Linked DNA regions of Sus scrofa. The main gene of each other region encodes a partner of the protein of the gene in region 2 in a complex. Links are inferred from orthologs where the notes say so. Each region holds a gene or a part of one and is shown on either strand. Other genes may lie near its edges.

The links.
Region 1: ECSIT (region 2) and TMEM186 share a complex: the UniProt entries of both Homo sapiens proteins name them as parts of the mitochondrial complex. The link is inferred for Sus scrofa from reciprocal best matches to the Homo sapiens genes ECSIT and TMEM186.

The regions. Positions count from the first base shown.
Region 1 is NC_010445.4:33,890,984-33,895,428, reverse strand, and holds the start of TMEM186 (transmembrane protein 186), read right to left. Parts: upstream 2,915-4,445; 5' UTR 2,783-2,914; coding exon 2,780-2,782; intron 2,750-2,779; exon of another isoform or gene 2,121-2,749; intron 1,761-2,120; coding exon 1,125-1,760; 3' UTR 1-1,124. Other genes in the region: PMM2 (phosphomannomutase 2), read left to right, coding at 3,047-3,112. UniProt on the Homo sapiens protein: As part of the MCIA complex, required for efficient assembly of the mitochondrial complex I.
Region 2 is NC_010444.4:70,167,725-70,172,049, reverse strand, and holds the start of ECSIT (evolutionarily conserved signaling intermediate in Toll pathway, mitochondrial), read left to right. Parts: upstream 1-1,287; 5' UTR 1,288-1,437; intron 1,438-4,325.

The DNA.
Region 1 (4,445 bases), on a different chromosome or scaffold from region 2:
AGGGGTCGAATCGGAGCTGTAGCCGCCGGCCTACACCAGAGCCACGGCAGTTTGGGATCCGAGCCGAGTCTGCGACCTACACCACAGCTCACGGCAACGCCAGATCCTTAACCCACTGAGCGAGGCCAGGGATCGAACACGAAACCTCATGGTTCCTAGTGGGATTCGTTAACCACTGCACCACGACGGGAACTCCCTGTAAATGTACTTAATATCACTTATTGTACACTTTGAAATGGTTGAAAGGATACATTTATGTTTGTTTTACTACAGTTCTTAAAAAAGACTAGAAGGCCACAAAACAAATCCTAGTGATTTTTGACTTTTCAGTGGCAGAATTATAAAGATCATGACTTGCCCTTTGTTACAGATTATGTAGTAAACATATTACTAATTACCAGGGGCACTGCATATAGCTAGCTTTAGTTTATAAAGTACGGCTCCAGCATATCACTCATCTGACTTTATCACGTTGCAGAGCCTGCCCATGTGAGAGCCCCTAGACCTCTGGATGTGAACTTGCTTGGAGGACACCCCCACCCCAGACCCTGTGCCCTGAGGGGCTGGCGCCAAGGACCCACCTCCAGGCTTCATCCCAGTCCCTTCGGATCTGGGGCCACCAGGGGGCGCAGCACAGGCATAGAAGCCTTTTGCAGCACTAGCAACTCTGCACTAAGTGATATCGTTTATTTTCACACCCATCCCAGGAGACAGGATTTTTCCACTTTACAAAATGTGAGAACAATCTGAGAGACTTGATAACCCGCCTCAGGACAGGGATTTGAGAATGGAGGGACCCAGGTCTTCTGACACACCCCCACCTCTCTGTCTTTGATTTCCCAGCAGTGCACTGTTGGAACGAGCCTGGCATAGCTTCCTCCAAGATCTGGCTCTTAACAGAAACTTCTGGCCGTTGTCAATGTCATACATAAGTGCAGTTAAGAATTTGCACTCAGGGCCTCTTTCCTAAACCTGGTTGCTAGCTTCTACCTTGTGAATTTCTCAATTCCAGAAGACAAGTCCCTGGGGTCCTGACAGTTTCCAGCTGCCTGACTTCCCCACTTCAGCCTCACCCTTCCCTGAGCCTTCCTACGGGAGACCCAGGCGGCCTGGCTCCCAGTCCTTCACTTGAGTGAGTCCAGCGCCCCAAACACCTGCATGAAACGCTCCCGGTCCAGGATGCGTCCGTAGCGTAGGGTGAGATAGAAGGTCTGTTTCCCACTGTACTGCCGGATCCGCACAAACAGCTCCTGAGGCCGATCGTGGCTTTCTGTCATGGGGACCACGTCGGCCACGGGGCAGTACGTGTCCTGTCGCCGGCCCCAGAAGGTCAGGTGGGCCACCCGCAGCACCGTGCCTGATTCATTCACATAGAGGATGCCCACCAGCCTCCGGAAGAAATGGCTCATCCAGCACAACATGGCCAGCGCGAAGCTGGCAACTGCGCCTGCCAGGCACAGGGAGTTGAAGGTCATGAGGCCCTGGGAGTACCAGTAGATGCCAGGCGGCAGGGCCACCACTGTCAACGCTGTCTGTGCCACCTTCAGCTGAGAGAGGTACCCGAAGACCCTGATGGCATCAAACCGGTACACCATCTGAAATTTCTCAGTCTCTGTGCCCAGCGGGTTCTTCTTGGATGGCAGAGGCCTGCTCCCCGCCCACCTCCTAGGATCCTGCCCACTGCAGCGCCACAGCCTGTGGAAAGGCCTTCCCCATGCAGCCTGCCTTGGTGACCACAGCACAGCTCGGAGCAGGGCAGCCTGGAAAGGAGACAGGGAGACCATTTCTCTCTGGAACTCAGCCAAGCTAATCACACAAGGACCACATGCAAAACATCTGCTACAGAGGATCCTGCCAGCCTGGTGAGGTCAGCATGATTGCCAGAGATGGAAAGAAAGCTGAAATCAGAGGCTTTACCTCTACCTCACGTGATAGTCAGGGAAGCTGTGTGCTAAAGGAACCACTGCTTCTACTTTACCACTGAGGAAACTAAGCCCAGAGAAGGTGAGAAATTTACCCAAAGACACACAGTCAGGGAGTAGGGCAGTCTAACTTTCAAACCCAACCTCTTTCCTCCAGGCAGCTCAAGTAGGCGCAGGCTTCATTCATTCAGCACATACCCAAGGAGGGCCGGTTCTGGCTGGATACCGGATCCACGGCCTGTGTGAACACTTCCTCAAGCAGGAAACTAAATCAGTGTCCCAGTGGGGAACAAATCCGCTAGCTAATCATCATAATAACTGTAGAATTCTCGGTTAGGTTAAAAGCGTCATCTTGGGGGCAGAACGTAAACGCTGTTTTCTTGGCCTGGATTGAGGGAAGGGATAGAATGGAGGAGGAAGGGATGGAGGCGTCAACTCATAGCACAAGGGTTTTATTAGATGCACAGTTCTACACCTTGAATATTGCACCGAAAGGTGCTTTGAGCTTTGAAGCCAGTTTTGGGTTCCAACCCTGGCTCCTACAGTCACCGGCTGTGGATCGTTGGGCAAATTACTCCACCTCTCTGGGCCCTGGTTTCTCTATCAAAGTGGGTATCCGTAACATACTGAAGAAGGTAACAGTTTTAAAGCCTTTAAATGCAGTAATGCACGGTGAATGCTAAATTTTAGTTGGCCCACGTGACCTAGGGGGCATAGGACGGCGGGGAACCCACGTCGGAGGTCCCTCCTCCGGATTCTCCGAATCAGAACCTAAGGCGTCCGCAGGCCTGCCCGGGGCCTGACTCCGACCCCCAAAGCACGACCCCTCCCTTTCTTGCCACCAATTGCCTTCTTACCATGGCCCCGCAGCCTGCAGCTGGAAGCGAGTCCCTCGCGTTCCGGGAATCTCCGAGAACGTGTCCTCCGCCCTAATGGGACAGCGTGGGGGCGCGCTGCATTCTGGGATCTGTAGTCCAGCCAGCAAAGCCGACGCTAGTCTCGGGCACTGCGGGAGGGGAATTCTCTTCCCGGCGTGCCCTGCGGCACGGGGGCCGGACCCGGAAGTTCCGGGCCGGGTGCCAGGTGCCAGTAAGTCGTGTAAGGTTTACGTGGAAACTGGGGTCATGGCTGCTCCCGGCCCAGCGCTCTGCCTCTTCGACGTGGACGGGACTCTGACCGCTCCCAGGCAGGTAAGCGGTGCAAAACTCCCTACGGCTCCCCGGTGGGTGTAATGACCGTCCAGGTAGGCGACCTGGGGCGGCTAAGGACCGCCTACCTCCCACGGAGGGGCTGAACTTTACTCTGGGTTCCTTGGAGTCATGAGACGAAAGCTCTCACCAGCTTTTCGAGACTTCAGGGTCCTCGGAGAGAAGGGACAGGCTAGGAACTCTTGAGAGCAAGGAACTTTGATTGGAAAACGCAGTTCTGGACTCTCATCAGCACCCCTGGGTTTGAATCCCGGATCAGCCGGGTTTACCAGCTTGTGTGCCCTCTTCAGACCTATCACCTGTGGTCTGCGCCTGTAGCCTGACATGAAAGACATAGGTTTCCAGGCCAAACAGACCTAGCAGAGTCTCTGCTTGACAGCTGTGTGACTTGAGCAAGTTAGTTAACCTCAGAGCCTCAGCATCTGTGGCTTTAAATGGGGCGTCTACCTGTTCCATGTGATGTTTGAATGAATGGATGAAATCATTTAAGTTCTTGAAAGTTATCTTACATACGGTAGACTGTGCTCAATAATACTCAGTAAGTATTCGCTGCCACCGCCACTCCCTGCTCTAGCCTTGCAGTGGAAGGGGGTGATAGAGGAAACCTAGATTGCCACAGGCTGCCTGCCGAGAACCTTCTTGGACTCCTGGAAACTTGCTTTCCATTTCCAGATTTTGCTGCCACGAGCACGGATAGGTCTCAAGATGAACCGTTGTGATGAAGCTTACCCTGACCTACCCTTTGCACACATTAGAAGAGCAGCCATTTGAACTTGAGACTGGCGCTAAATGGCCTCAGTCTCTCTCTACCCTGCTGCGTTTGGGTCGGGTGGTAGCACTGGTGTGCTCCAGAATTCCTCACTGAATGCGTGTGGCCTTAGATGTATCATTTTACTTTTCTGAGCCACAGGTGCTCTGTATGTACTGATGATGCACAGTTGTAAGTTCTCCACAGGCCCTTTTTGACTCCGTAATCAGTGCACACTTGCAAGTTGTTAAACACTCAGAGTGGCCTGGAGCCGAAGTCAGCAGTTCATTGTTTGCAAAGGGCCAGATAGCAAATACTTCCGTGTTTGCTGACCATATGGTCTGTAGTAACTATTCAACCTAAATCCAAAAGCAGCCATAGACCAGATGTGGACCTAGCACAGCTGTGTTCCAGTAAAACTTTATTACGGACACAAACTGCTGCTCTAATTGGCCCATTGGCCGGAGTGCTCTCTTAGGTTTACTTCCAAGCCTTTTGACATATCATTGGACCCTGTCGACCTTTCTCCCTCTTTGATCCCAGGTAGGATAGTTGTTATTTCATTTT
Region 2 (4,325 bases):
GGACACACAGTGTTACAAACACATACCAACAGCTGGACACAACTACATAATGGAATCCCACATCAGAGACCACCCCAGATTGGCATTGTCAGTCAGACCTTTATACCACCGCTGAGACACAGAGTTTCACACACACACACACACACACACACACACACACACACACACACGAAGTCAGAGATTCATATAGGTACAGGCACACACTGGTAGACACAATCACACACAGATATGTAAAGGGCTATAACAGTCACATGTGTCTTGATGGTGGGACAATCATTTATCCACAAGTTGGGGACACATGGGGTGTCATAAACACAGTCATCTACCCACTAGTGTTCAGACATGCAATCACACACACATTATTGCATGGACCATCAAAGAAATGTTGACACACCTAATCCCAGCCCCTCAGAATTCTGGGACAAATTCCACATCCTTCCACACACACAGAATGACAGACACCCAGAAGCTGATACAATCACAAGTGCACATGCAGCTACTGACACGTGGACACACAAAGTCCCACATGTACCAATGTCCACACTGACACACGTGGGGACTATCCCTGACCTACCCTCATACAGCCACACACAAACGTACACACCTTTGTTTGAGTTCTGAGAAACTACGAAAACCCATGAAAACATCCACACTCTATCGCAATCTCACACACACATACGCACACACACACAATTGTGAACATGCACACTACCCTACAGGATCCTCAACCGTCCAAGCGAGGGAGGTGGAATAAGGTATTAGTGTGAATCCCCCATAATAACAGTAGCAAACGCTTACATGGCTGTTCTGCATAGATTAACTCCATTATTCCATAAAACAAAGCCCAAAAAACAAACAAAACAAAAAACAAAAAACCTCTACGAGGTTATTATAATTGGCCATTTCAGAGGTGAGACTATTGAGGCACAGACAGGTTAAGCACTAGTCCAGACTCCAGGAGCTAGATTAGCAGTCCTTCTTCTTCCCTAACGTCAGCGCCGAATCAGCGCCTGGCACACAGTAAGCCTTCAAATGTTCGTTGAAAAAATGAGGGAATCCACATTACTTAGACCTTTAATATTTCATTCCCGTATTTCAGGTGGGCACTAGGACTGTCAGTTGAGTTCACCCGCTGCCTGAGTCCAATGTCCCAGCTCCGAAACCGCACAGTCTCTCCTTCCCGAACCAAGCTCGCTCATTCGTGGGGAGTCCAGCTTGCCTCGTTAGGGGAGGGGCCTGACTCACCACGAGGCGGGGCCAAGGTCGCTGCGCCTTTTTATTGGTGCTCCTTTCTTCGAGGCGGGACCTCTCTTAAACTGGCGCTGTTGATTTGCCGGCTCCCTGGTGGCCCGTGACCCAGAAGATCTTCGTGCAACATGGCGGCGCCCAGGGGCAAGACATAACCGGCCCGGATTCCGCGGCCGTCCGCGTGAATAGGTAGGTCCCACGCGGGGAGGCAAGCGTGAATTTATGAGCCCTGGGGCAGCCCCTTTGGGGCCAGCAGCGCGGAAGGGCGGCCCCAGGAGGATCCCGGCTGCCGGGGCCAGGGCACCGTGACCTTTTCGGGTACACGGCGGGACGTTCCGAGGAGAGCTGCCTTCTGTGTACCCGCCTCCCCACATCCCTAATCTCTAATCTTGGAGATGAGACAGCTGAGGCTCAGAAAAGTTAAAGCCGTCTCCCAAGGTCACGCCACAGGTTGGCAGCTAGGCTAAAGTTCGCTTCTTTCTCCCAAGGGCGTCAAAATCCTAGCAGCCAGCCTCAGAGCTGCTGTAGGTACACCCTGCCTAGGGGTTCAGATTTATAGAAGCTTTGTAGAAATTTAGCTCTTCTTATTCATTTGATATTTGTTGGGTACCTACTATATAGCAGGCACTATCCCAGGTGCAAAAGAGACAGCAAAAAGGAAGACAGACAAAAATCTCTGGTCTCAGGAGAGCTAGACGTTGAACAAATCAGAAGTAAATGAAACGTGACTTCAGATGCTAATTGCTAAAAATTCATTCATCAGGATGATGGGGCTTTAGATTGGGAATGGGGCAGTAGTCAGGGAAGGCGTCTCATTTGAATATAGACCTGAATAACCAGGCACAGCAATGAACTGACCTGGGGAAGGAATTTCCAAACAGGGAAAAGCAACCTCAGAGGCTCTGAGACTAGATAAAGTCAGCTTGTTTAAGAAACAGCGTAATGGGAGAGTTCCCTGTTGGTCTAGTGGTTAGGATTCAGAGCTTTCACCTCTGCAGCCTGAGTTCAACCCCTGATCTGGGAACTGAGATCCCACAACAAGCTGCTGCACACTGCAGCCAAAAATAAATAAAAATTAAATAAAATTTAAAAGAGAAATAAATGGTGTAGCTGGAGCTTCCAGTAATAACAGTTGAGTTTGGAGGGATGGAGCCTGTCTGATTTTTATCTCATGTGATGTGCAATTAGTGACTTTAGCCGGAGAACACTTTAGTTTACATTTTAAAAAAGCTCCCTATGACCACTTTAGGGAGAACTGGCTGGAGGCAGGTAAGGAAAGGAGTGTGGGTAGATGAAGAGAGGTCATGGACTGGAGTTGTGGCTTGCAGATGGAGAGAAATGGGATTGTTTGAGGTGGATCTGGATGTAGCAACATGAGCAGCTGATGAATTGGTTGGGGAAGTGAGGAACACAGTGGACTCAGAACCAGGTTTGTGGTTGATTGACTAGGAATGATGGTGTAATGACATCAGGCAAGGATGAGATGGAACAAGTTTAAGCAGGGGCATAAGTTAGGCGCAAAATAAGTTTGAGATGGCTAGGTATACACCAAAGTGGCAGTTAGGTATGGAAGCTGGAGCTCAGGGATGGTGATAACCATTGGGAACTATCAGCACATAGATCTTCATTTCTCAGACTTTAACACACATAAGAGAAATGTGGACTTTTGTTTAAATGCAGATTCTGCTTCAATAGGTCAGGGTTAGGGCTGAGATTCTGCATCCAAATAATGATGCCAATACAGCTGCTCCCTGAATAGCAAAGGTTTAGATTAAGGTCTAATCTCAGCTGGATGTTAGAGTCATTGGAGTGCTTTAAATGCTGATGCCTGGGCCCTACCTCTAGATATTCTGATACAATATATCTGGGGTATGGCCTGGGCATGTGATTCTTTAAAGCTTCCTAGATAATGCTGAAATGAACAAGGTTTGAGAACTATGAGAGCTGCCTACAGAAATACAGAGAGAACACCTCTCTTGGAAGCTGAATGATACCTTACGGTAGCAGACAGACAAGTTCAAAGTGTAGGACTCTTTGCAGCATTATTACTCAAAAGACAGCATTAAGCATCACATAGAAGTTTGTTAGATTAAAAAAGTCTTTGGCTCCACCCTAAACATTCTGAATCAGAACCTGCATTTTAACAATATTCTCAGCAATTCATCTGCACATTCAAGTCTGCAAGCACTGCACACTTTAGAGAAGGAAGCCAGTCTTTCTGATTGGCTGAGAAACAGGCCTGGGGGCTAGGAAGAAAATCAAGAGTGCCAAGGTGGGAGGAGGGCATCACCCATTCCAGATACTTCTGAGAAACTGAGCAAAATGAGGCCAGAGAAATAACCACTGGCTTTGTTAAATGTAGAACGTGCAAGGGGTCTTTACAGGAGTGGTGTCAGTGGAGTGGCTGGGACAAGAGCCAAACTGGAGACAGTGAAGAAGTAACATGTAGACCCCTCTTGGGAAAAGCTGTACTATAAATAGAGCAGAGATGTGGAACAGAGGTGGAAGGAGATGCTAGAGAAAGTTTAAAGGGTGATATGAGTGATCCAAGTATGTACCAACTTATTTTATGAGGCCAGCATTACCCTGATACCAAACCAAACAGACACAATAAGAAACAAAAACTACATCCCAATATCCCTTACCAATATGGTTGCAAAAATCCTCAACAGAATACCAGCAAACCAATTTTGGCAACATAAAAAAAGATTATATACATCATGACCAAATGGAATTTATCCCAGAAATGCAATATTGGTTTAATATTTGAAAACCAATTAATGTAATGTACTTTTCTTTTTTGGTCTCTTTGGTCTTTTTAGGGCCACACCCGCAGCATATGGAGGTTCCCAGGCTAGGGGTTGAATTGGAGCTGTAGCCGCTGGCCTACGCCACAGCCACAGCAGTTCCAGATCTGAGCCAAATCTGTGACCTACACCACAGCTCACAGCAACACCAGATCCTTTACCCACTGAGCAAGGCCGAGGATTGAACCCACATCCTCATGTATACTAGTCAGGTTTGTTAACCACTGAGCCACGATGGGAACTCCTGTAATATACCATATTAATAGAATA